Oryctolagus cuniculus: one gene and its partners. The protein of the gene in region 2 interacts with the protein of the main gene of each other region in a pairwise test. Links are inferred from orthologs where the notes say so. Each region holds a gene or a part of one and is shown on either strand. Other genes may lie near its edges. The genes, in order: PPFIA1, MBIP, EPB41L3, MCM7, FXR2, NDEL1 and TXLNB.

What was found.
Region 1: the proteins of MBIP (region 2) and PPFIA1 interact in binary tests that used the Homo sapiens proteins (3 or more experiments, as listed by UniProt). The two-hybrid records come from large-scale screens. The link is inferred for Oryctolagus cuniculus from reciprocal best matches to the Homo sapiens genes MBIP and PPFIA1.
Region 3: the proteins of MBIP (region 2) and EPB41L3 interact in a two-hybrid assay, tested with the Homo sapiens proteins (2 studies listed by BioGRID). The two-hybrid records come from large-scale screens. The link is inferred for Oryctolagus cuniculus from reciprocal best matches to the Homo sapiens genes MBIP and EPB41L3.
Region 4: the proteins of MBIP (region 2) and MCM7 interact in binary tests that used the Homo sapiens proteins (3 or more experiments, as listed by UniProt). The two-hybrid records come from large-scale screens. The link is inferred for Oryctolagus cuniculus from reciprocal best matches to the Homo sapiens genes MBIP and MCM7.
Region 5: the proteins of MBIP (region 2) and FXR2 interact in binary tests that used the Homo sapiens proteins (3 or more experiments, as listed by UniProt). The two-hybrid records come from large-scale screens. The link is inferred for Oryctolagus cuniculus from reciprocal best matches to the Homo sapiens genes MBIP and FXR2.
Region 6: the proteins of MBIP (region 2) and NDEL1 interact in binary tests that used the Homo sapiens proteins (3 or more experiments, as listed by UniProt). The two-hybrid records come from large-scale screens. The link is inferred for Oryctolagus cuniculus from reciprocal best matches to the Homo sapiens genes MBIP and NDEL1.
Region 7: the proteins of MBIP (region 2) and TXLNB interact in binary tests that used the Homo sapiens proteins (3 or more experiments, as listed by UniProt). The two-hybrid records come from large-scale screens. The link is inferred for Oryctolagus cuniculus from reciprocal best matches to the Homo sapiens genes MBIP and TXLNB.

What each region holds. Positions count from the first base shown.
Region 1 is NC_091432.1:2,279,229-2,282,728, reverse strand, and holds part of PPFIA1 (liprin-alpha-1), read right to left. Parts: intron 3,197-3,500; coding exon 3,050-3,196; intron 450-3,049; coding exon 315-449; intron 1-314. UniProt on the Homo sapiens protein: May regulate the disassembly of focal adhesions. May localize receptor-like tyrosine phosphatases type 2A at specific sites on the plasma membrane, possibly regulating their interaction with the extracellular environment and their association with substrates.
Region 2 is NC_091443.1:39,323,082-39,327,134, reverse strand, and holds the start of MBIP (MAP3K12-binding inhibitory protein 1), read right to left. Parts: upstream 2,801-4,053; 5' UTR 2,711-2,800; coding exon 2,582-2,710; intron 1-2,581. UniProt on the Homo sapiens protein: Inhibits the MAP3K12 activity to induce the activation of the JNK/SAPK pathway. Component of the ATAC complex, a complex with histone acetyltransferase activity on histones H3 and H4.
Region 3 is NC_091441.1:62,322,209-62,325,708, forward strand, and holds part of EPB41L3 (band 4.1-like protein 3), read right to left. Parts: intron 3,418-3,500; coding exon 3,343-3,417; intron 2,977-3,342; coding exon 2,878-2,976; intron 1,806-2,877; coding exon 1,095-1,805; intron 586-1,094; coding exon 463-585; intron 1-462. UniProt on the Homo sapiens protein: Tumor suppressor that inhibits cell proliferation and promotes apoptosis. Modulates the activity of protein arginine N-methyltransferases, including PRMT3 and PRMT5.
Region 4 is NC_091450.1:42,362,448-42,364,704, forward strand, and holds the end of MCM7 (DNA replication licensing factor MCM7), read right to left. Parts: intron 2,062-2,257; coding exon 1,893-2,061; intron 1,779-1,892; exon of another isoform or gene 1,718-1,778; intron 1,557-1,717; exon of another isoform or gene 1,495-1,556; intron 1,350-1,494; exon of another isoform or gene 1,290-1,349; intron 1,122-1,289; coding exon 1,012-1,121; intron 872-1,011; coding exon 670-871; 3' UTR 501-669; downstream 1-500. UniProt on the Homo sapiens protein: Acts as a component of the MCM2-7 complex (MCM complex) which is the replicative helicase essential for 'once per cell cycle' DNA replication initiation and elongation in eukaryotic cells.
Region 5 is NC_091448.1:52,166,767-52,170,266, forward strand, and holds part of FXR2 (RNA-binding protein FXR2), read right to left. Parts: intron 2,777-3,500; coding exon 2,724-2,776; intron 2,367-2,723; coding exon 2,273-2,366; intron 540-2,272; coding exon 468-539; intron 354-467; coding exon 205-353; intron 1-204. UniProt on the Homo sapiens protein: mRNA-binding protein that acts as a regulator of mRNAs translation and/or stability, and which is required for adult hippocampal neurogenesis. Specifically binds to AU-rich elements (AREs) in the 3'-UTR of target mRNAs.
Region 6 is NC_091448.1:52,861,497-52,865,740, forward strand, and holds the start of NDEL1 (nuclear distribution protein nudE-like 1), read left to right. Parts: upstream 1-1,444; 5' UTR 1,445-1,642; intron 1,643-4,244. UniProt on the Homo sapiens protein: Required for organization of the cellular microtubule array and microtubule anchoring at the centrosome. May regulate microtubule organization at least in part by targeting the microtubule severing protein KATNA1 to the centrosome.
Region 7 is NC_091436.1:29,593,107-29,596,606, reverse strand, and holds part of TXLNB (beta-taxilin), read right to left. Parts: intron 3,434-3,500; coding exon 3,341-3,433; intron 1,826-3,340; coding exon 1,730-1,825; intron 1-1,729. UniProt on the Homo sapiens protein: Promotes motor nerve regeneration. May be involved in intracellular vesicle traffic.

The DNA of each region.
Region 1 (3,500 bases), on a different chromosome or scaffold from region 2:
AAGTCTAGCGCAAGTGATCCTGTCTCTGAAAGAAAGGCATTTTCCTACTCCTGACAGAAAAGACAGAAACCCTGGCCCTGTCCAGGCCTCTATCCCACGCTCGCAGCTGGTGACCAGAGTCCCGGCAGCAGTGTCCAGCACGCTCCTGTGGACAGACAGGACACCTGCAGACCAGGGGCTCAGGGACACAAAAGTGGGGGTGAGACTGTCCCACGGATGCGGGGCCTCGACCCAGGGAGGGTGACGAGCAAGGGCCAGGAAGGAGTCCCGGGCAGCGTCCCGGCAGCTCAGCAGAACCGCGCCCCAGGTCCCACCTTGGACAGTGCTGCCACGCGCTGGGCCAGCTCCGCCTCCACCTCGGGCAGCGTCTCTGCCTTCCTGAGCGTCTGCTGCAGCTTCTGCTCCGCCAGCTCCAGGCGCTCCTGCAACTGGCGGTTTTTATCCTCAGTCTACGAAGAGAGCACAGCGTCACAGGCGTCAGCGCTCAGCCGTCTCCATCAGAAACGCACACACACAGAGACCACGGCAGCACCACGGCAGCCCGGCTGCTCTGGGAGCTGCGGGGGGAGGGGACTTTTCTTGCTGCAGTACCACACGCCCACCTCTGGGCTTGAGTGCAGTGTGCAAAACGCCTCTTGCCAAAGTATTTGGGGCTTCAAAAAGTTCACAGAATTTTTTTTTTTTTTTTTGAGAGACAGAGACCGAGAGCTCCTATGCGCTGATTCACTTTCCGAATGCCCACACAGTCAGGACTTGGCCAGGACCTAAGCCACGAGCTGGGAACTCAATTCAGGTCTCCCTGTGCGTGGCCGGACCCCAGCGCCGGGAGCCACGACGCTGCCTCCCAGGGCCTGCAGCAGCAAGAAGCTGGGGCGAAGAGCCAGGCTTCGGTGTCCTCCCCAACATCTTCCCTAAGCCGGACACCTGTCTGCACTGCCGCTCGACCCCATCTGCCTGAACTTCCTGAAGCCCCCATTCTGAACACCTGAAGGCTCCCAGACGTGAAGGAAAAGGAGTTTTCGTGGAGGCCTGGTTATCTCACCCACGGAGGGGGCAGTAAACGCTCCAGGCAAGCAGGGACCAAGCCGAGGCTGACCCTGCTCCCAGCAGACACCACAGGTGTGAGCCAAAAGGTGGCTCTCATCCTGATACAGACCTTCCGAGAACACACGTGACAAGATGCTGTTGGGGCCGGCGCTGAGGCGCAGCAGGCTAACGCCCTGGCCTGAAGCGCCAGCATCCCACATGGGCGCCAGTTCGAGATCCAGCTGCTCCACTTCCTATCCAGCTCTCTGCTGTGGCCTGGGAAAGCAGTGGAGGATGGCCCAAATCCTTGGGCCCCTGCACCCACGTGCGAGACCCGGAAGAAGCTCCTGGCTCCTAGCTTCGGATCAGCATAGTTCTAGCCGTTGTAACCATCTGGGGAGTGAACCATCAGATGGAAGACCTCTCTCTCTCTGTGTGTGTGTGTGTGTGTGTGTGTGTGTGTGTAACTATGACACTCTGACTTTCAAATAAATAAATAAACATTAAAAAAAAGAAAGAAATGCTGTCAACTTACTTCTCTGTGAGTACTCTTTAAAAACCATTTTCTTCTAAAAAAATTTTCAATGCAGAAAATTTCACAAGATTTCTTAAAACTCTAAGAATCATCTAAGCTCAGATTCCTGACATATCTGCCCGTTTCCACACAGCCTTCTTCCTTACCCAGTGTACTCACCTCCACACACGCCAACACACGCTACGACACGGAGACCCCACACCCTCAGACACGCCACGCTGGATCGGGCACGGCCACCCCTGTCTGCCTCTCATCTGTCGTCACTGCACACAGCACTTTCAGTGGCTGCCTGACATCTTACTTCCCTTTTTGGTAGAACAATATACTTTATAAAAGACCAAACTGATTTCCAAGAAGCCTGATGTGGTTTTTCTGGCTAACTCCTGATGTCCAGAAGCTACACAGAAATAGGAGTACATGCGGCTCACCAGACCCCAGAAACAAGTAACTCCTACCAGAGATTTCATTTCTTTTTTGTTGTTTTAAGATTCATTCATTATTATTTGAAGGTCAGAGTAAGAGAGAGTGAGAGAGAGAGAGAGATATCTTCCATCCACTTGTTCACTCTCCAAAGGGCCGCCAATGGCCAGGGCTGGGCAAGGCCAAAGCCAGGAGCCAGGAGCCTCCTCAGTCTCCCATGTGGATGGCAGGGGCCCAAACACTGGGGCCATCTGCTCCAGCTCTTCCCAGGCCATTAGCAGGGAGCTGGATCTGAAGTGGAGCAGCCGGGACAGGAACCGATGCCCATATGGGCTGCTGGCATCACAGGTGGTGCCACTCCTGGCTACATCACAACGCTGGCCCCCAAATGTCATTTAAAAAAAAAAAAAAAAAGGATTCTTTTATATACTTGAAAGGCAGAGTTACAGAGTCAGAGAGGGAGGGAGAGGCAGAGAGAGAGAAAGAGATCGCCCACCTGCTAGCTCACTCCCCAAAAGGCCACGACAGCCAAGGCTGGACCAGGATGAAGCCAGGATCCAAGAACTCCATCCAGGTCTCCCAAGTGGGTGCAGGGGCCCAAGCACTTGGGCCATCGTCTGCTGCTTTCCCAGGAGCATTAGCAGGGACTGGATTGCAAGTGGAGCAGCCGGGACTTGAACCAGCGCCCATGTCAGCCCTGCAGGCAGCAACTTAAACAGTGGCATCGCAGCACTGGGCCCAGACTGCATTCCTAGACTCACCACTGACCACTGTCTCCAGGTACCAGCAAATGGCCACTGGCCGTGAAGTCCTTCACCACCCTCTATTCTTTGCAAGAAATGTTAACAACAAGCAACAGATTATCTTTCAACCAAAACCAAAGACTGAACCAAGGAGCAGAGCTCCAAGTTAAACCAAAATCTAAACAATCAAAACCTTAAGTTGAAGTGACCCATGCTCTCCAACACAACATTCTAATATCATACAAACTTTCCACAGCCCGGGAAAAAGGTCTTTCACTTGACTAAAATTCATTAAAGCCAGACAAAGGTCTGTGGAACCCGTCACCTGTCGATGCATGGAATCTTTATTTGCAATCTCATTTTCAAGTTTATCGTTGAGGTCGTGCACAGATGTGGCTTCACGCTGCGCCGCGAGGTAGCGCTTCTCCAGAGTCGTGATTCTCTCTTCCATGTCTTCCTTTTGGGCCATGGCCTAAATGAGGTATTTCAGAGGGGAAAAAAGGTAGAAAATAAATATCTAACATTAATATACCTGAAAGGAAAAAACTGGACTAACTCTAGATTTCAAATTACATATAAAATTAACATCCACAAAATTAAAGTGACAGAGATGCCAATTTTCTCAAATGCTGGTTAAAAAAAACCCAACCTAAAATATAAATACCCACGTGTACGACCAGCAGAGATCTGTCTGAACATTTGGTTATCAAGCTTATCCTTTGTGACAAGATATTACAAAAATCCAAACGATGCAACTCTGCAGCACGGCCAGAATT
Region 2 (4,053 bases):
CAGAACAAAATCATATTTAGAAAACGGTAAAAATCTATAAAGCTAATATCTACTTTAGAATGAAAACCGCCATTTGCAATCTTTGAGTGAAAAGTGAATCACCAGAAACTTTTCTAGGAACATGTGTTTAAGAATCAATTTAACTATATTTTTCAGAAATAACGTTTTTCTATAAATAAAGGTGTTACATCCAATTCAAATACAGATCTTATGAGCTATAATTATAATAAAACAAAAAGATGAATCACTATGCAAGAAATCAGATTCAAGGTTACCAATAAAAACACCATATTGAATGAACACATGTGACAGAACCTTACCGCTCTCTGAACATGACACCAGAAGCATTTAAAGTCCAATATTAGACAACTGTACACAAAGATTAGTTAATATTATAGTGACTTTAACAATTTTGTCAGACATCTGCTATCATGTACAGAAGTAACCCAATACCAAAATTTTACAGCCCTCAAAGAGATCTATAGTTGGTTACAATAAATTGATGGATGTGGTTTTGGAAGAAAGCAAAGAAATCCTCAACCAAGGCAAGGCAACACATCTTCTGGAGAAAACACCTTACAGAAAATAAATCCTAATGTCTGGATTACAACTTCATTTCAATTAATAATGGAAGCTTTTAAGGGTAATTAAGGATACTTGGTCTTTTAAGAAAACCACAAAATAATGTTGCAAATTCGTTCTAAAACTATCCCAATTTATCCAAAATTCAGTCAACAAATTCCCTTTTAGTAATAAATTCTATGCATTTTTCTCTTAAACTTGGAATAGTAAACCAGTCAAAAGTCTATCAGTTTGCAATTAATTGGACTATTTAAATCTGTACTTTCAGTAAAACTTTATTAAATTATGAAAATCTGAGCAAGCATTAAATTTAGTTTGGTAAAATGAACCATCTATAAGCCCATTAAGGATAAAAATTAGTAAATTTTGCCATCTGGAATAGAAAACATACAATTTTATGCTTCCAACTGAGAGTTAATAATACGATGATATCTAGTATGAACTTGGGCATATAACAACATACATGCTAAAAAAACTTTAAACTTATTGCAAAAGGAAACACTGATGTGGACATGGTTCTCTGACTTTCATTCTTAAACAATACATCTCAAACTACAGATTGTCATCAAAATGGTTAGCAGTGAATTGAGAGGCAATCATATTTTTGATACTTATATAGAAGGTCCCTTGCCTATGTCAAGAAAACCTCACCAAATTTTTACCCTAAACATTTTTGACAGGTGACGCAAGTAAACTGTAATCAATTTTCTACTTGTACTATTAGAATATCTGAATTAAAATTTTTAAAAGTTTCAAAAGTTCAACAAGCAAATATTTCAAAAGCAATGTTTAAATTATCTCTCAGTATGAATTTGTACAAATATCCTATCACTGGGGCAGGAGGAACTCTACAAATAATGGATGACCATACATTTTTCTCAACCTGATATCAGAATATGAATAAAATGTAATGTTCCAATGTCCAAGCCATAAAAAGTTCTGTAACTTTTCAACCATTTAAAAGGTCCTTGGTCTTCTAATAACCATCAGAAGTACCCACGTCCTTGGCAACCCACCGAGTTTACAAGGTGTACCACTTAGGAGACTCTATTAATAACTGCCTCATTACACAAAACAGAATGCTTACTTACAGTAATGTTCTTTATAAGCCACAACATGCCAAGCTTTTTAAAAATACTCCAACAGCTTTTTAAAAAGGTGTCTCTCCATACCCTCAAGGATTTAAAAGGGAATTTTCAGAATTCAGACAAATGCTCCAATTTCATAGGAACTTATCTTTGACACAAATGCCTGTTTTCACCACATGCACTAGTAACAGTCCCAGAACAAAGTTACAGTAAAATATTGTCTCCGTAAGATAAGGAAGAAATTATTTCTTTCTAAGAGGCAGACAAACACACCGCAAGGCTATTCCTCGTTTAAAATTCAATCCGAAGTTTACAGCTTGAATCTCAATACTGACTATCAGTGTTAAGAACCCACCTTTTAAAATCCATTTTATAAGGTAGGTCTGCAAAAGCGGTTTACGAGCCAATTAAACTCCTTCCTGAACACCTCGTCAGACGGCAGTTCTACCGCAAACAGCAACTTTAAGTTAGAAGTTGATTAACCGTTTTACTCTACTCCCTGATGCAAAGTGTAACAGATGGGCACACACCCACAGGGCAACCAGAAAGAAAACCAAGTGACTCAGAGGGTCGCTTTTCCAAAAACTTCAGTCCGTACTGACCGACCACCCAGTTTCTCGAAGGAGTAAGCTGCCGGGAACAAGACCCCGAGAGCAGGCACCCCTAAACCCCGACGGAAGCTTTTCTGCTTCCATTCCCTGCAGACCTGCTCCGCGGGCCACTGGGTTTCCCCTCGGACCACCCTCGCTCCCTCTCTGAGAGGACAGCAGCGTGGTCATCTGGACCGCAGCCGGTACCGAGCGAGGGCGGGCACGGCCGCCGCCGGCTGCCCCCCGGCCGGCCTCCGCCACAGGGACAAGTGGGGGAAGGGCGGACGGCCCACTGCCCCGGTTCCCCGGGCCACCACCCACCTGTCCAGCCAGGGTGTGCAGAGAGCGAAAGAGTTCGCAGAGCACCTCTCGGGAGAGGCTGGGGCTGCAGCTGCGTTCCAGGTCCCTGTCACCGATGCTCGGGTAACTAAGCTCGGTAGCAGCGGCCATGACACCTTCGCAAGCCGCCCCCGCCAACGCCGAGATGCACTCACTACTCCACCCCTCCCTCTCCTGCTTTCGTCGCTCCCCGATGACGTAAAAACAAAGCGTCTCGTTTAGATAGGGCTTGCGGCCCCACCTACCCCGTGTGACTGACAGGCATGTTAACCAATCAAGTGTTAACTACAGCTTTGCGCCAAGCTGGTAACTGCTGACTGGCGCCAGGCTAGATTCTCTATTTGGAGCGGTGATTGGGGTTGTAGTCAGCTGACAGCCTCGTGGAGCCTATTTTGACTCTTAAAGGTTTCTTCTGAGTGTTGGTTAAGAGGAGAGTTAGATTTTAATGTTAAGAGTTTGAGGCCCCAAGTTAACATTCGAAATTTTAACAAGGCAGTATGGCGTGGTTTGGAGAAAGATTGCTGGTCAGAATGGGTGGGTGCCACACGTGTTTCTAAACACTAAGAAACTTCTAAGTGGATAGAACGTGCACAACTCTACAGGGCTGTTTAAAACGTACACAAGTCAACACAACTAATTTTTCATACAGGGGAAAGGAGGAGGTAAAAGAACACTGTGCTCCATTATGCCTTGCTTTTCTATGGGGGGGACGACGTGACTTGACTGACTGTGATCTGAGATTGAACCCCTATAATGGAAAGACAGGGCCCAGCCTCTTGTCTGTCTCCAGGAGCCCAAGGTGTCCTTGCCTGTCGGGTATCAAAAGGAATTCACTGAACTGGGGAGAGATACAGCTGACCCGACAAAGTTCCACTCACAGGACTCAAGGAGTCCCTTGTTGGCCAGCACTGCTTGGAAGGAGTTGTTTAGGGGAATTCCAGGTCTGGAGTAGAAGGAAACTACCATTTGCTTGTAAGCCCCACCTTCACCTCTCCTAGGCCAACAGAAGCCCACCTGGGCATCAAAAAAATTCTCTAAGGAGCACAGCATCACAGACCAATCAAAGAAAACTCACTAGCACACTGACCAACCGGGAACCTGAGCATGAGCTGACCCTGCACCTCTCAGCTCCAATTTCAGTCTATAAAAAAACACCCCAAATTCCCCGGGGGAGCTCCAGCAGGGAAATGGCAACAGCTGCCCCTGGGAGGGGACCCAGACTTGGGGGTTCTATAACGACAGCTCCAAGAGTTTGGGGTGGTTGTCCTGGAACATATCTGCTAAATAATTTGTCAGGTTTTAAAGTGTGCAGCAGTTGAGTGGTAACTTTAAAGATGCTCAACCCTTAAATTGTTTCAAAGAAGTAAAACACTGTCTATGTGATTCCAACAGGAATTTAACCCAGGTTAAATTTCACACAGATCACAATCTTTGAATTAGAAGGGCATAAAACC
Region 3 (3,500 bases), on a different chromosome or scaffold from region 2:
TTGAAAGGCAGAGAGAGAGAGAGAGAGAGAGAGAGAGAGAGAGGCCACCTGTATTCCCAAATGCCCACAGTGGCTGGGGCTAAGCGTGGGAGCTGGGAACACAACCTGGATCTCCCAAGTGGGTGGCAGGAACTCAATTACTTGAGCCATTAACTGCTGCCTCCCAGGGTCTCCATTCGCAAGAAGCTGGAGTGAGCCGCTGGAGCTGGCACTGCGAATCAAAGCCAGGTACTCCCCCACGGGATATGGTGTCTTCGCCACCGGTCTCTATGCTGGCTCCCCAAGTACATCCTTGGAGCGGAACTAACTGTGGATGGACAGAAACACCAAGCAGGCACAAAGGACAATCCCTGAAGGCACCTGTGAGGTCTCGAAGGCAAAGCCACTTGAATGCAAAACACGAACACACACACATAAAGCAAGGCACAGGCACAAACACGCAGGAGGGAAGCCAGTGGGCACCTGAACCCAGCTCTGAGCAGTGGAGGCAACCCCTCCTATGAACTCTGTTGGCTTTCGGGCAGACTCTAACAAACTGAAGATCTCAGAGCCGTCCATGAGCTTTTCGCCGGAAGCCTGCTTGGTCTGAGTGGACAGAGAAAGGCAGAGTCAAGCACCAGAGACACAGGTCCTCAGCAGAGACACATTCACGGCTTGTTACACACAGCTGGAGGCGCAGGAGAAGGGGAGGAGGAAGGAAGGAAACTAAGAGACGGAGTTCGGAAACGGAAAAGAATGGGAAATAAAATAGCCAACCAGGGTGACCCTGAGCTCTTGGTTGGTAAAGCAGAGAGAGAGAGAGTTATTAGGAGAAGGGCGGCACCCAGTAAAGCGGGTCATGTTTTTCCTTCATTGCCAGGCACAGCAGCACGATCACATCTTGGGAACGGGTAGCTGGAAATAAACATTTTAATGCCCTCTTGGGACTGCGGTATCGACTGAACCATGAAAAAAACTCAAAAAGCTGGGTTGGCTGCTCTCAACACAAAGCCAAGCAGCAAGAGAAACGGGAAGGTGTGGGGCGGAAGGGGCACTGCCTCAGAACAGGTCATGCTGGAATCTAAAGCTGCGGCGGAATGAGAGCCACTGGTTACCACCACGCGGGACGTGGACGACTCGGTATGGTAATGAGCAGTAGCCACGGTCAAGGCTGGCTCCTGGGAGTATCTCCACTCGGACAGGCTCTTCCGTCGGGGACCGAAGAGGCCCACCTTCAAGACCTCACTCTCTTGCACCTGCTCCGTTTTGCCAAGGCGCAGGCTGTCCAGCCCAGGGTGGCCAGCTGCTTCCAGCCTCAGCTCTGCAGCCTTCCTGGTGTCTTCATCCTCAGGGCTCTGCCGACGAGACTCGGCCTCCTTGATGGGTGCCAGAGATTCTGACAACTTCCGCTTTGTCGTCTGGACCTCGGGTCCTCGCTTGGGTTTCTCACCGGCAAGGGCTTCCAGGCCCTCATATTCCGCCAGGCCGGGGCCCCTCTCCGTTTTCAGAGGTGTTTCCAGTGTGGAGGGCGGCTCTGCTTTTTCCCCCTCCTTGGCTTTCCCAGTCATGGTCACAACTCTTCCGGAGACGGTGTCATAGGACTTTCCTAGCGTGTATATCTTCTGCTTGCTTTCTTCTTTCAAGTGCACTTCTCGGGCCAAGTCATGGAGGCCGTGCATGTCAAGGGAGCCAGATTTTAACATGTCGGCTGGGAGGTCACCAGTTCTACTGCTCACCGTCACCACCTTGTAAGTGACAATCTTTTTCAAATCACCATCAACTACCTCAGTGGGTATTTTGTCTACAATAACCCAATCCTCTGTGCCCTATATTTGAAATATAAAAGCTAAATTAGAAATTCTGATGGTTATCTCATTTCTAAAATAAGAACCTTTTAAGAAAATCAGGGCAAGAGCTACAGGCAGGCCTGAGGTGGGGCTGCACAGGACGGGCAGTGTAATAATTAACAGCTGCATTCTCTTCTCATTGGAAATTTACTAACTATAACCTTCAACCTGGAATATACTCTTTAGGCAGAATTACACTTTCAGATTTCTCGACATGAACATGCTTTGGTGGTCAATATTGCAAGAAATATATTTGATCTTGTGATTAACTATGGTCATTTTATATTTCAAGATTACAAAACATTACTGAAGTCATTATTACAAGTTAGTTTCTGTATGTGAACACAAAAGAACAATTCTCTGTGTTAAATATACTGTATACTTCAAGTACAAGGATACTTCAAAAAGTCTGTAGGAAAATGCATTTAGAAAAAGTGTATTTTGGTGCAAAAAGCTTTGAAATCCATGCAGTTTTTTTCACTTTACGCATCTTCCAGGAACTTTTTGAAAACCCTCATTCTCACAAGAACTTGCCAACGTTATTCACATTTTTGTACTTATAATTTTCTGTGTTTGTGAGCTGTACTTCCTTTTGTTGGTATCTGACTCCACTAGAGCAATTACCTGATAAATATCGTGTGTGCCTGAGTTCTAGGCACTTCCATGAAATAGCTCCCATTGAGGGACACTGTTGGAGACTTGTATAAACAGATCACAGCCACGTGTGCAGTGTGCAAATTTATTTACAACTGAAGTTCACTGTCTCAGTAGCTTCTTCCCCACTTTCCTCAATGTGAATCCCAGTACGGCAGAAGAAATGAAAGTCTGTATTCAGATGTCACTGGGCAGTTGACTAGCCTCATAGCTTACAGAAGGGAACCAGGAGCGGGTGAGTGCTTTGGTTTACATTTTAATCTAGGATGTTTTCTACATTCATATTTACGGTAGTCTGAAAACTTGAATCTAGAAATAGCATGTGCCTTAAGGAAAATGACTACATCTTGATTACATGCTGGTGCTGGGTTAAATGAAATGAATTGAAAAAAATAACCTCTAGGGTCGCTGGGACAGTTTTCTGGAAAATGACTTGACGAGAGGTAACCATAGAGTCAGCAGAGCCTCCTTCCTGCATTTTCTTGATCACACTCGGCTATGGGAAAACCAATAAAAGTTCAGAGCTTTCAAAATCAATCAAGGTCAGCTACAGTACAGTAAAGAAAAACCAACTGTGGGTAAAAACAGGCAGTGAAGTTTCACTAAGACAAAAGTACAATCATGGTGCTTCAATGACAACATATAATCACCTAACAGAAGCACAAGGAAGTGACATGTTACAAATAATGAAAATACTAAGGAAATTCCTTTGTCTTTTCCCTAGAATTGAAGCAAAACTTATAGACCCACCTTACTTTTAAATGAGAGAAATTTAAACAGGAAAATAAAACTAAAGACATTTTAATAATACTGAAGTCTGAACAGCAATTCCTTCTACAAAGTCCTTGATGTTTATTTTTACCTGAGACTCAAGGAATGAAGAGCTTCCTTGTTGCAAAAATATAACTTTTTCAGAAATTTCTCTTTCTTCTTTGGTCTGTTTGAATAAAGGGGGTTGGGTTGGAGAAGAGGAAGTAGACAGTTTCCAAAAAGGCAAGTTAGGAAGTGAGTTCTTTTATT
Region 4 (2,257 bases), on a different chromosome or scaffold from region 2:
CATTTTTATTAGGGACATTTCAAAAGCCTGGCTCCTGTGGGTGCTGAGAATTAGAGGGAGTGGTTTCCCCTGGGTTACTGCACTGACCCAGTGCCTCACCCCTGCCTGTTGACAGTGGTGCTATTGGCACTCACTTGGGAAAGGCCAGAAAGCGGGGATTTACCTGTGCCTGGTAACACCACTGCATGCCACTCCTGGTCTTTTCCTCAGCCCCCTTGAAGGGGCTTTACAGAAGCTGGGGATCGAGCTATCTGAGCTGTTGTGATGGATACACCTCAAGAAATAGGAAAGGGAACCGCTGTCTTGCCTATGGTTCTCACTGGTGCTGAGGTTAAATAGGAACTTGCTCCTCACTGCCTCCCCAGCATCTCGTGGTGGCTGGTGGGTAGCGAAGGTACTTTCTCAGAAAGCTCAGAGATGGGGTAGGGCCAGCATAAAGGGGAAGGAGAGAGGACTCTTAAAGCCCCATAACACCTGTTTAACAGAAGTCAGGACCAAGGTACAAGGCAGCAATCTACACACTTTATTATATTAACAAAAGTAGCAAAACAAGCAAGTGCAGCACAGGAAGAGGGGCTCCTCCCACCCCTCCGGAGCTGGGTTACACCTGCAAAGGCAGCAGGTGAGCGGCGAGCACAGTGGGTCCCCAAGGTCTCAAGCAGGTTGGAATCAGACAAAAGTGATCCGTGTCCGGGAAGCATTGACCTGCCAGACATTCAACTCCTCATACTCGTCCAGAGCTGCTTGGAATTGGGCAGGTGTGAAGCCACGGGATATGCAGCGCTGCTCTGCCTCAGAAAACCGGACGCTCCGGGCCCCCGAGACCAACTCGCGGACAGTGGCAAATATCACATCTGCTGGCCTCTGTGTCCTGAAGGAAACACGAGGGTATGGAATCAGGGCACAAGCCAGGACACTTGACAGTGACAACGGAGAGTGGTCAGCTCATGCATCTGGATGCTGAAGCCTGCAACGGTCAAGGTGACCCAATCTCATCATTAAACCACTCACCTGGCTGTCTGCCCCTTGTCGCCCAGAAGTGAGTCCTTGGACATCTCCATGAGCCTTATGGCTTCATTCACATCTTCCTTCTCCACTGTGTCCACCATTCTCAGACGTGCCTAAGGGGAAAGTAGGGGAGAGAGGGGGACAGGAGGAGAATGGAATAAAGTCAGAGAAACCCCCTTGGTTCCAGCTTTAAGGCTGGACAACCTATGTGCCGTCTGCTCGCAAAAGGAGCAGGGACCCCTCCCCTGCTCCCCCACATCCGCAGTGTAGGGCCGGCACTGTCAGACCGAGACAAGTGCAATGCCCAGGGCAGCGTCCAGCAATTGCCCAAGTCTCCGCCTCTCAACACTGGCCAGTCCCGGTGTTCAGCTGTCCTGTGAGGGAGACCAGACCCTTCCGAACTCCAGTGGGCTCCCCACCACGACAGATGCAGCCTGGGGAGCTCAGCCTAGCAGGCGGTTGGCAGAGAGGCTGTGTCCCAGGGGCTCGGGAAGTGCTAGCTCAGCAGTAGGTCAGGTAATCACACTACCTGCACGAACAGCACTTTGGAGCCCCCGGGACTACGGTCCGAGATGTGAGGACAGAAAGGAAGCTTATAGCACAGGATCAAGGAGGTGGGGAGAGAGAGGGACCCTCCCCCGCTTCAGTGAGGCTGCAGAAGTGGGGAGAGAAGGCCTCTCCTTCCGTGGACGTGCGTGCCCTGCTGGAGCAGCAAGTACCCACAGTGCGGTAGCACGGACAGGACCACTATCTGCACTGTCAGCACTTTAGCCCCAGCAGGGCGGGTGTGGGAGGAGGCGGCAGCGAGAGGACCAAGTGAGGGTTCATTGCCAGTAGGGATGGAAACGGACACCCTCCAGCAGTACGGGGAACCAGGCACTCACCAGAGCAGTGGAAAGTCGGAGAATGGCCAGCAGTGTCCGGGCGGAAGTGTATGTGGCATCCTTACTGGCCCAGGCCTCTCGCCTCATCTCCACGTATGCTGCTGTGATGTAGTCTGCCAGGGACTCTGGCACTGTGGGCTGCTTCTCACGGCACATGGCTATGTAGCGTCTGTGGGAGAAAAGGTTCATGGGAAAGCAGAACATGAAGAGGGGGAATGGGGTACACACATGGGCATGGTGTTTTCTGCCTAATGGTTCCTCCATTTAATGAGAAAACTCTCAGAAGTAAGGACTTTTAAGCAGAAAAACGAGTGGGTGACTCTGTGTTTGACTCCAGTATCGCTGAGGGATTTCCACATCATGTT
Region 5 (3,500 bases), on a different chromosome or scaffold from region 2:
GTTCAGGTGAGAAAATGAGAGGGACCACAGTTAAAGCACAGAATAGGGAAGATGCAGCTGGTCAGAGCACACCTAGCAAGGAAGGCTTGAGAGGGCCAGGGGACAAAAGGTCAGGCTGCAAAGTGCGAGTGGGACCTGGGAGATGAAGACAGGCTAGGGCTGGAAAGAGGGCTGCCCCCCACGCCCGACATCCCTAACACTCACGCCTCTCTCAGATCCTCAGGCACAGCCATGGTAACCTTGAAGAAGCTGCCTTTGGTTGCAAGGGGATTGGGATTAACTGGCCGAAGTCGCTCCAGGGTAACAATCTCATTGTAGGTGGCATCGCAAGCGGCATACTCAATGACATAGAACTGGCAGAGGAGAAACAGGGAGACGTTGTAGATGGCCTGAGCATCTACTTCCTACCTTTCTAGGAGTAAAATACTTGCTCCAATAGTTCTCCTAAGGCCTACACCGTCACTCACATCTCCCTTCATCATCCGCACACGGGCCAGCCACCAGCCACATGGCTCCTGTTCATTGGCTCGAGAATAAACCTGGAGGGAAGTTGAAAATAAAAGAGATCTTGAAGATTATCCAAAGCCATCAAGAACTGAACAAGCATTTCAATACCTGGGATGCATCCTAAACCAAAGAAAGGAAGCCAGAGGGGCAGGTACCGTGGCACAGTGGGTTAAGTAGCCACTTGAAATGCCTGCATTCCATATTGCATACCACCTTTTTTCTTTTAACGATTTCATTTTATTTGGAGGCAGAGTTAGAGAGAAGGAAAGAAAGAAAGGTCTTCCATCCACTGGTTCACTCTCCAAATGGCCCAATAGCCATTTGAGCTAATACGAAGCCAGGAGCCAGGATCTTCTTCTGGATCTCCCAAATGAGTGCAGGGGCCCAAGCACCTGGGCCATCTTCCACCGCTTTCCCAGGCCATGAACTGGCGTCCACATGGGATGTTGGTGCCACAGGCAGAGGCTTAGCCTACTACGCCACAGTGCTGGCCCTGATACTTACCTTCTTCTTCTTCTTCTTTTTTTTTTTTTTTGGACAGAGTGGACAGTGAGAGAGAGAGAGACAGAGAGAAAGGTCTTCCTTTGCCGTTGGTTCACCCTCCAATGGCTGCTGCAGCCGGTGTGCTGTGGCCGGTGCACCGCGCTGATCCGATGGCAGGAGCCAGGTACTTATCCTGGTCTCCCATGGGGTGCAGGGCCCAAGCACTTGGGCCACCCTCTGCTGCACTCCCTGGCCACAGCAGAGAGCTGGCCTGGAAGAGGGGCAACTGGGACAGAATCCGACGCCCCGACCGGGACTAGAACCCAGTGTGCAGGCGCCGCAAGGCGGAGGATTAGCCTAGTGAGCTGGCCTGGATACTTAATTTCTGACCCAGTTTCCTGCTGATGTGCCTGAGAAGACAGCAGATAATGGCTTAAGTACCTGAGTCCCTGCCAACCTCATGGGAGACTGGGATGGAGTTATTGGTTCCTGGTTTGGGGCCTGGCCTAGCCCTGGCTGATGTGAGCATTTAAGGGAATGAACCTGTCGATGGAAAGTATTTTTGTCTTTCTCTCTCTCCTTGTCACTCTGCCTCTCAAATAAATCTTAATAAAAGAAAAAGAAATAGAGAGGCTGTAAAGAGAGGCCTGACCTGTGGCGTAGAAGGTGAAGCCACTGCCTGCAGCACCAGCAATCCATATGGGTGCTGGTTCAAGTCCCGGCTGCTCCACTTTCAACTGAGCTCCCTGCTAATGTGCCTGAGAAAGCAGTGGAAGATGGCCCAAGTCCTTAGGACCCTGTATCCACGTGGGAGTCCCAGATGAAGCTCCTGGCTTTGGCCTGGCCCAGCTCAGACCATTGCAGCCATTTGGGGAGTGAACCAGCGGATGGAAGGTCCCTCTCTCTGCCTCTTTCTCTCTGTCTTTCCCTCTGGCTGTAACTCTACCTCTCAAATAATACACCTTTTCTAAAAAAACCTTTAAAAAAGAGAAACAGAAACCAACGAAAAGAGATACTACATAAAAATCAAACAGCACTGGATTTTAGATGCCATCATAAAGGAAAGAAAAGTGAATCCCCTACAACTGTAGAGCCCCCTGAGAGTGTGGCTGATTGCTACAGTGACAGGAAGGAAACTGTTGCCTTTTACTTCACCAGCTGCCTGGCTGGATGTGGCTCAGCTGGGGAGAAGGGCCATGAAGGAAGCAGAGAAGAGCCTAGGATCCTGGGCAAAGTGGCATGTGGAGAGTGAGTTCCACGTGCTCTGGACACTGGCCCTTACCTCCACCTCGTCCCCTTCTGTGATCTCCTTATTATAGTCTGCGGGAGGTGGTAGCCGGACATCCCCAAAAGGAATCTGTCTCTCACTCTGCCAGCTGCAAAACAAACAGTGCCATGGACGTTATTCAGAATGACATGCTGCCCTTTCCTTCAGAAAGGGGTTACTGCCTCAACAGAGAAATCTCCACCCTCCCTGGTCCTTAGAGGCTAGCCCTCAGGCCTGGCTCCATTGTACTGTCATCTGTCTCTTGCTAGAATCTAGCCAGTGGGTCAGCTAAGCCCAACCTCACCAAATTCTCAGCCCTCTCCTCTCATGGGATCCAGGTAAGTTGCCCACCCACACCCTCAGCTCTCCCCCACCTATTACATGCCTCATAGGACTCAGCCGCCCCCTCTTCTCCACTCTCCTTCTAGGACCTAGTATGCTGGATTCTCTAGTCCCAAGGTCTTACTTGTTTTCAAAGAAGATGGTAACAGAATCTTCATGGACATCCTTCACAAAGCCCTAGAGTGGATTTTAGAAAAAAAAAAAAAAATGACATTTTACCACAACCTTAATAAGGGGATAGAAACATTGGAAACCTTTAAGCCAGTTTTAGATGGGGCCACGAGCCCTCTGAAGACAGGGCCAGAAAGGTGTATTTGGGAAAAAAGAATGTAACAGTGAGAGAGAGAAAGGAAATGATACTGGCATGGAAAGAGAGGTATGTGGCAAAATCCGGAAATGAGATGAGGTGGGAAAGAAGTACAAGGTAAGGACCACCTGCATGGGTACGGCCTGTAAACTGGTGGTCTAGCATGGCTTCCAGAGGCCTCCCCAGCTGCCCTCTGTGCGCTGAGCAGCCTGCCAGAGTTCAATTAAAATACCAACAACCTTCAGCAAGGCTAAGAATATCCCATGAGACAGCGTGAGGCTGTCCTGGAGCACCTAGCGGACATCAGGATCTGCCAAGAGAGGAGGGGCTAGCCCCCCACTATAGCACGGGACTCGGCCAGACACAGGGCCTAATGCCCGGGTACTAACAGAATAAGGACACTGCAGAAGTTACCAAGGATGAACAGAGTTTACAGAAGGAAAAACTTGGGATATAAAAGATGTCAGATATTTGGGATCATGAAAAATGGACACTGCTGTTAAGGAGAATAAAATGTATGGGGCCCCAATCTTAGGACTGTGCTGAGGAACAAGCATAACTCAAACAGGTCCATCTTTTTTCTGTCACTAACGA
Region 6 (4,244 bases), on a different chromosome or scaffold from region 2:
CAGACTGCCAGGAGGAGAGCAGGGCTCCAGGCCAGCAGGGGCCCCTCCGAGGGTTACAGCTGGTGGGAGGCGAAGGCGGGAACAGCCCTCCAGGAGATCCAGGGCTTTCAGCACACACACACCCCCACCATCTTTCCGGGCTCTGGGGAAGATGGGAGGAGTTAAGAGGAGCCGAGGGTCATCCTGCCCCCGTCTCTGTGTGGGGCTTTGCCTGGGAGACCTCCACCCTCTGTCTTGGATCCCTCAGCCCAGGTGCCCGAGGTTTCCCACATTCTTTACCCAGGTGTTGTTTCTACAACATCGCTAAGGTTCACAAACACCTGTGGGATGACTTCCGGTGCTTTGCGGGGTGTTCCTGGGGATCCAGCAACAGACCCCCGGCAGCTCCTACCTTCCCTGGGTGACCCTAGGTAAGATCCCCACCTTGGGAAAGGCGTTCTCAGTGAAGGACCTCAAAAGCAGTTCTTCTCCTACCCCCTTTTTCCTCAAAGATTTATTTATTTGAAAGTCAGAGTTGAGAGAGAGAAAGAGGAGACAGACAGAGACAGAGAGAATCTCCCATCTGCTGTTCACTTCCCAAATGGTTGCATCCAGGCTGAAGCCAGGAGCTCTGTCAAGTCTCCCATGTGGGTGGCAGGGACCCAAGCACTTGGACCATCCTCTGCTGCTGTCCCAGGTGCATTAGCAGGGAGCTGGGTGGGAAATAGAGCAGCCTGGACTTGAACCAACACCCATACGGGATGCTGGTGCCTCAGGAAGTGCCACGGCGCCAGCCCCTTGACAGGCATTTGTTGAGTAACTATTATTAGCCTGTTCCTTTCACATTTGCTTGCAGTCACAGTTCTTACAGCTGGTGCTGCTTGTGGAGCGTGAGACTGACACGTGAGGGCTACGACCATTGTGGAGGCTACAGGTGGCTGGGGGTGGGGGTGGGGGAGCAGGTGCTCTTCAGACCAGGTGCTCTAAGACTTAGGGAGGGCGTCAGGTTTGGAAAAGGGGCAGAAAGAGGACAACCCCTGACAACTAAGGGGACTAATTTGCCTCCTATGAAGCCGGTTACTCATGCTGTCTCACAAAGCGCTGAACGACGCCCTGAGGTCAGTCCTGGAATTATCTCCGTTTTATAGATGGGGAAAATGAGATGCAGAGAGGCAAAGCCACTCGCTTCTGTTCTCTCAGCTACGAGGTAGGTCGGGGCTCTGTCTGACTTACAGGCCGTTTCTCTGATGCTCGGGGCTGCACTGGTTCTGTGCCGGGGCCACCACAGAGATAGAAACACCATTGCCCTGCCCTCATCGCCTTCTCTTACAGAAAGTGGGGGAGAGCCCGGGCATTTGCTTGGGAGACCAGGGGCTCCCCTGCCTGCCGTGGAAGGCCTGGCTCAGGAACCAGGACCCGTATTTCTTGCAGCACCACAGTCTTGCTCAACCCCCCACTGAGCAATGGGCCTGGCGGGGTTGCCTCACTTGGAGACAGCAGGCCCCAGCCTTCCTGGCTCTCGCCCACTTCCTGTCCTGCGTCTCTGTTGTGGGTCGGTGATTCTCACTCTTCCTGTTGACTTCTCCTTTGTTTCAGCCGGTGCAGCGCAAGCCTTGCGGCTGCTGCGGATGTGAGCGGCCAAGGCTCCGGGACCCAGGACAAGGTAGCTTGGGATGGTGGGGAGTGGGAGGTGGGGGCTGATTGGACAAGGTCTGGGTCAGGAGAACACTGGCTCGGGAGACATCGGAGGAGGGGACCTGGTGTCTGAGGACCCCCTCTGCCTTCGGGATGTGGGTGGTTGGGGGGGTTGTTGGAGGCCAAGGTCAGTCTGTGAAGTTGTTTGTGTCCCTGTGGACAACAGGGGTTTGCTTTGGTGTCTTTCTGATCCTCCTAGGCTTCTGATCACCTTGACTTGTTTTTTGTGGCGTTGTGGAGGGAGCTCCTTGGGCTGGGATGGGTGATGGGGAGCTGGCAGGGCCACTGTTGGTGTGCTGCACGGTGATCTCACAGTGCTGGCTCACAGAGGGGCTTGCGACTGAGCCTTGGCTCCGTGGCTGGCTGGCTTGGTGGCTTGTGGACCAGATACTTCCTTCTGAACCTGGGCTGTCATCAGCAAAGTGGAACACACCTGGTTTCACTGGGTTTTTGTGGTGCTGAAGCAGGAAAATGTGAGGGGGTTTTGTAAACTGTAAGAATATATTCTTCAGGGCTCACAGTAACTTTTATTTCATTTTCTAAATGGAAGTATATATATAGATATATTTTTTCCCTGATAGTTGATAAAAATGGGAACAATACAGTACAGAGAACTGGGGAATATCTGTACCCCAAAAATGAAGACTTTGGGATACAGACTTTTAGCCTTACATGAGGAATTATTTTTTAAAGATTTATTTGAGCCGGCGCCGTGGCTCAATAGGCTAATCCTCCACCTTGCGGCGCCGGCACACCGGGTTCGAGTCCCGGTTGGGGCGCCGGATTCTGTCCCGGTTGCCCCTCTTCCAGGCCAGCTCTCTGCTATGGCCAGGGAGTGCAGTGGAGGATGGCCCAGGTGCTTGGGCCCTGCACCCCATGGGAGACCAGGAAAAGCACCTGGCTCCTGGCTCCTGCCAGGATCAGCGCGGTGCGCCGGCTGCAGCGGCGGCCATTGGAGGGTGAACCAACGGCAAAAAGGAAGACCTTTCTCTCTCTGTCTCTCTCTCTGTCCACTCTGCCTGTCAAAAAAAAAAAAAAAAAAAATTTATTTATTTATTTGAAAGGCAGAGTTACAGAGAGGCAGAGGCAGAGAGAGAGAGAGTTCTTCCATCCACTGGTTTGCTCCCCAAATGGCCACAATGGCCAGAGCTGAGCCAATCCAAAGCCAGGAGCCAGGAGCTTCTTCCAGATCTCCATGTGGGTACTGGGACCCAAGGACTTGGGCCATCTTCTACTGCTTTCCCAGACCATAGCAGAGAGCTGGATCGAAGTGGAGCAGCTGGGTTTTGAACTGGCACCCATATGGGATGCTGGCACTGCAGGCAGCGGCTTTATCTGTTATGCCACAGCGCTGGCCCCATTGATACGCTTTTGACTCATTTGTTCAGACTCCCTTAAGAAAAGCCCTATCGGTTCATTTATTTTAAATCCAACGTCTACCTCTGTGAAAGCAACACAGAGCTTGCAATGAAAAACAGCATCTCCACGTCCCACCCCTCCACTTCCAGGCTCTCCCTACCAGAGGCAAATATTTTGAAATTTTTAGTTGCTTTTCTTTCCAAATAGAGTGCCTATGTGGCTATTTCTTTATTTTTCTGTGTTAATCATGATCTATTGGTTTCTTATTGTAAAAGGCAAGGGTATAAAACTCTCACCCTGCCCACATTACTGTCCCCCCATCCTCCTGATATGGCATAACACCAATTTGGTTAAGTCAGTATTTGTGCTTATGTTATATGTGTTTGTTACGCTGTGACTGTATTAAGTTTTCTCGGTGCTATATAAATTATGATGATGACGTTCCCTTTCTTTTGTCTATTTGTTTCCCTGGAGCTGATAGTTGCCTTAGTTTTTATGACACATGTCACTGACTCCTCTCCAAAAGAGCTATTAAATTCCTGTCAATTTGATCTGACACATCAGATAATCTCTCAGCTTCTGTCTTTTTTCTCTTGGAGACATCTCCGTGGGAGCCTCGTCCCATCACGCCAGTCTGGACTAGCTGCCCCCAGTCCTACTGCATACTATTGTCCTGGGACACCCTAAACATCATCTTAGGAATCAGTTCTCACTCTCTTGCACGAATCCTCTCTCTTTCAGGTCCTACTTTAAAACTGATTACTTACTCCCTCTCTCTCTCTCTCTCTGTGTATGAGAGAGAGAGAGAGAGAGAGAGATTGATTTCCCATCTGCTGGTTCGCTCCCTAAAATGCCTGCATTGGAGAAAACTGGAAGCTGGGCGCTCCATCCAGGTCTCCCACATGGGTGGCAGGGACCCAAGTACTTGAGCCATCACCTGCTGCCTCCCTCCCAGGGTCTACTTTAGCAGACAGCTGGAATTGGGAGCCAGAGCCAGAGCCAGGCATGAAACGCAGGCACTCTAATGCGGGACATGGGGGTCATAACCTGAGGCTTAACCAAAAGAAGCCCACGCCTGTGACCTGGGTTTGTGTCTGCAGAAGTGGGAAGGAGTGTCACCACACGCCTGCAGGTCTGAGATTCCTGCACGAGTTTCATGGTGTCGCGTACCCAGGGACCATTTCTAAGTGGGTATTGATTGCCATAAGCAA
Region 7 (3,500 bases), on a different chromosome or scaffold from region 2:
GCCTGGGATTGATTGCCACTTCTGCTTCTTTTTTTTTTTTTGACAGGCAGAGTGGACAGTGAGAGAGACAGAGAGAAAGGTCTTCCTTTGCCGTTGGTTCACCCTCCAATGGCTGCCCTGGCCAGCGCACCGCACCGCACTGATCTGAAGCCAGGAGCCAGGTGCTTCTCCTGGTCTCCCATGGGGTGCAGGGCCCAAGCGCTTGGGCCATCCTCCACTGCACTCCCTGGCCACAGCAGAGAGCTGGCCTGGAAGAGGGGCAACCGGGACAGAATCCGGCGCCCTGACCAGGACTAGAACCCGGTGTGCCGGCGCCGCAAGGCGGAGGATTAGCCTAGTGAGCTGCGGCGCGGGCCCACTTCTGCTTCTAATCCAGCTTCCTATTAACACAGCTGGGAGGCAGCAAATTATGGCCCAAGTGCTTGGGTCCTGCCGCCTTGTGGGAGACCATGATGGAGTTCCTGGCAGCTGTTGTCAATATTTAGGGAGTGAACCAGCAGATGGAAGATCAGTCTCTCTTTCTCTCCCTCTTCTCTTCACCCTCTCCTCAACTGCCTTCCAAATAAATAAAAATAAAGTAGCACCTATTCTGGGTGCTTTGGCTGGTGTCTTTTTTTTTTTTTTTTTTTTTTTTTTTTGACAGGCAGAGTGGACAGTGAGAGAGAGAGACAGAGAGAAAGGTCTTCCTTTGCCGTTGGTTCACCCTCCAATGGCCGCTGCGGAGGCGCGCTGCGGCCGGCGCACCGCGCTGATCCTGTGGCAGGAGCCAGGAGCCAGGTGCTTTTCCTGGTCTCCCATGGGGTGCAGGGCCCAAGCACCTGGGCCATCCTCCACCGCACTCCCTGGCCACAGCAGAGAGCTGGCCTGGAAGAGGGGCAACCGGGACAGAATCCGGCGCCCCGACCGGGACTAGAACCCGGTGTGCCGGCGCCGCTAGGCGGAGGATTAGCCTAGTGAGCCACGGCGCCGGCCAGCTGGTGTCTTTCAATATATTCAAATCAAGTTATTAATTTATTCTGCACCTGTGATATGCTAGGCACTGGGGAAATTCAGTGCCAAATGAGACTCATTCTACCTTTAAGAAATTCAGTGTAGGGGCCGATGCTGTGGTGTAGTGGGTAAAGCCGCTGCCTGCAGTGCTGGCATCCCATGTGGGCACTGGTTCAAGTCCCAGCTGCTCCCCTTCTGATGTAGCTTTCTGCTAATGGCCTGGGAAAGCAGAAGATGGTCCCAGTCCTTGGGCCCCTGCGCCAGCGTGGGAGACCTGGAAGAAGCTCCTAGCTCCTGGCTTCAGATCGGCTCAGCTCCGGCCGTTGCGGCCATTTGGGGAGTGAACCAGCAGATGGAAGACCTCTCTCTCTCTCTCTCTCTGCTTCTGCCTCTGCCTCTCTGAACTCTGCCCTTTCAAATAAATATATAAATCTTAAAAAAAAATAGCAATTCAGTTTAGCAGGTGGAGTGCTGCTGTTCAACTGTTGAATCAACAAGTAAGCATATGAGTTAGGGTCACAAAGCTCTTTATGAATCTAATTTAGAATCAGATTCTAAATGGCTTTTGCTCTGATTATTTTTATTTCAATTTAATATATCACATTCCTTCCTTGCATCCCATTTATCTCTTTTTCAAATATAATTATTTGTACTATCAAATTTTAATTACATTCTAAGTGTGAATGTTTTGACTAGACTGGGGGTGGGGAGGTAAAAGCTAAGAGACAAACTTTCTCACCTCTTCAATCATATCCAACAGAGCTTTGTTACAATTTTCAAACCGGGATTTCCATGTGGCGGTGTCCTTTTCCAGCTTCTTCATTTTCTTAGTCATCTACAGAAAATAGAATGTTCTAGTGTTAACCCTGAAGAATGAATGCATCGAGGAAGCTGTGAGTTCTCTCTTGGACATCAAGAGTAGTCCTTTTGTTACCAGCTACTGAAGCAAACAGCTGTTCGATGTCAAGAATGAAGATTGCAGAAGAATTGTGATTTATTTCTGCATCCTCTAGTCACTGGTACATACACGTTTGCACCAGAGTCAGTTCAGGAAAAAGGAAACTGCTTAGGAACACACTTTTTTTTCATTGTTTTTTTTTCTTTCATTTAAAACAAAAATATCTTTACTGAGTCCCATGAATAAGCTTGCAATTTAGATTATTTGCTTTATTGAATAGGAGACTCCACAGTGGTGAGAAGGCTGGCATGGTTTCTTAGTCATTAAAATGCTGACACTGTTTGGGCACATTTGAGAAGTAGGCACATAAAAGCAGTTTTTTGTTTTTACATTTGTAGTTTGAGGGAGAGTTCACAGAATGTAATTAGACACATCATTCCTCTCATCCTTGAGGCAGTCTCATAGGTATGGTTCTGTTTTCACCCCTGCTTTAGAGATAGGGAAGCTGAGACTCAGAGCAGTGGAGTAATATTCAGGTTAGTTAACAGAAGAGGGACTGGAGTTACTCCATTCCGTTTTGTGCAACATGTGCGGTGTCTGCTGGTCACCAGGCCCTGGGCTGGGCATGGGGCATACAGAAGTTAATAAGATGTCATCTCTTTTTGAAATTGAGGCAGCTCACATTCCCAGTTGTAGGATTTCCTCTCTGCTTGAGTAAAGTGAAGAACAAAGGATACAGTTAGTTATGGTTTCCCTGGATGAACCATAGCTGGGCACTTGCTGCTTCAAGCCAAGCTGCCTGAGGCTAGGCTGACTGTCAGCCCCTGGCACATAGAGAAGTGAGGTGAGCCCTGAATGATTTTTTTTTTTTTTTTTTTTTACTTCTGACCACATAGTAACAAAATCAGTACTTTATAAACTTTTTAAGGTCATCACCCTTTAAGAATTTTATGAAATCTATGGGATCACACCTTAGGAAAATGCAAAGATGTGGATCAGTTTTGTTTTTGCTAATTTCCAGAGAATTCTCAGGTCAGCTACTACAGGTTATAAGCAGAGCTCAGATTAAGAATTCCCTTCTTGATCTAATATTTACTACAATGTCAAAGCTATGTAATTTTGAACTTTAAAGTGTTTTCTGCTTTTGTATTTATTCAGCCTTAAATTCTAGAAATTTGAGAGAGGTTTTAAAAATGGATAAATCCATCCTGGAGTGGGAAAGGAAATATTCATTCTCAGAGTGAAAGTATATCCTAGCATTTTTTGGCTCTTGCCAAGAATAATTCACCAGATACTTACCGATAAAAAATACAGTCCAAAAATCATTTGTACCTATAAATGTTTCATTACTTCATGAAATGCATTGAAATATCTTAGAAAAATGAGCCCGAAGGAGAATTTCCTGTCAAAATAGAAAATTCCAGTATTTCATGGGTGATAAGCAATACTCACTTTATCCATTTCCTGTTTGAAAGAGGCAAACACCTCATTGCTTTTTGTCAGTGTGCTCTGGAACTCTTCAAACCTTCCTGAGTAGAGAGTAAGCTGTAAACAGGAGAGAGAGTGTATCTACTTGAGGGCTGCTTTCAAAGGGCTTCCAGAACAAGATAAC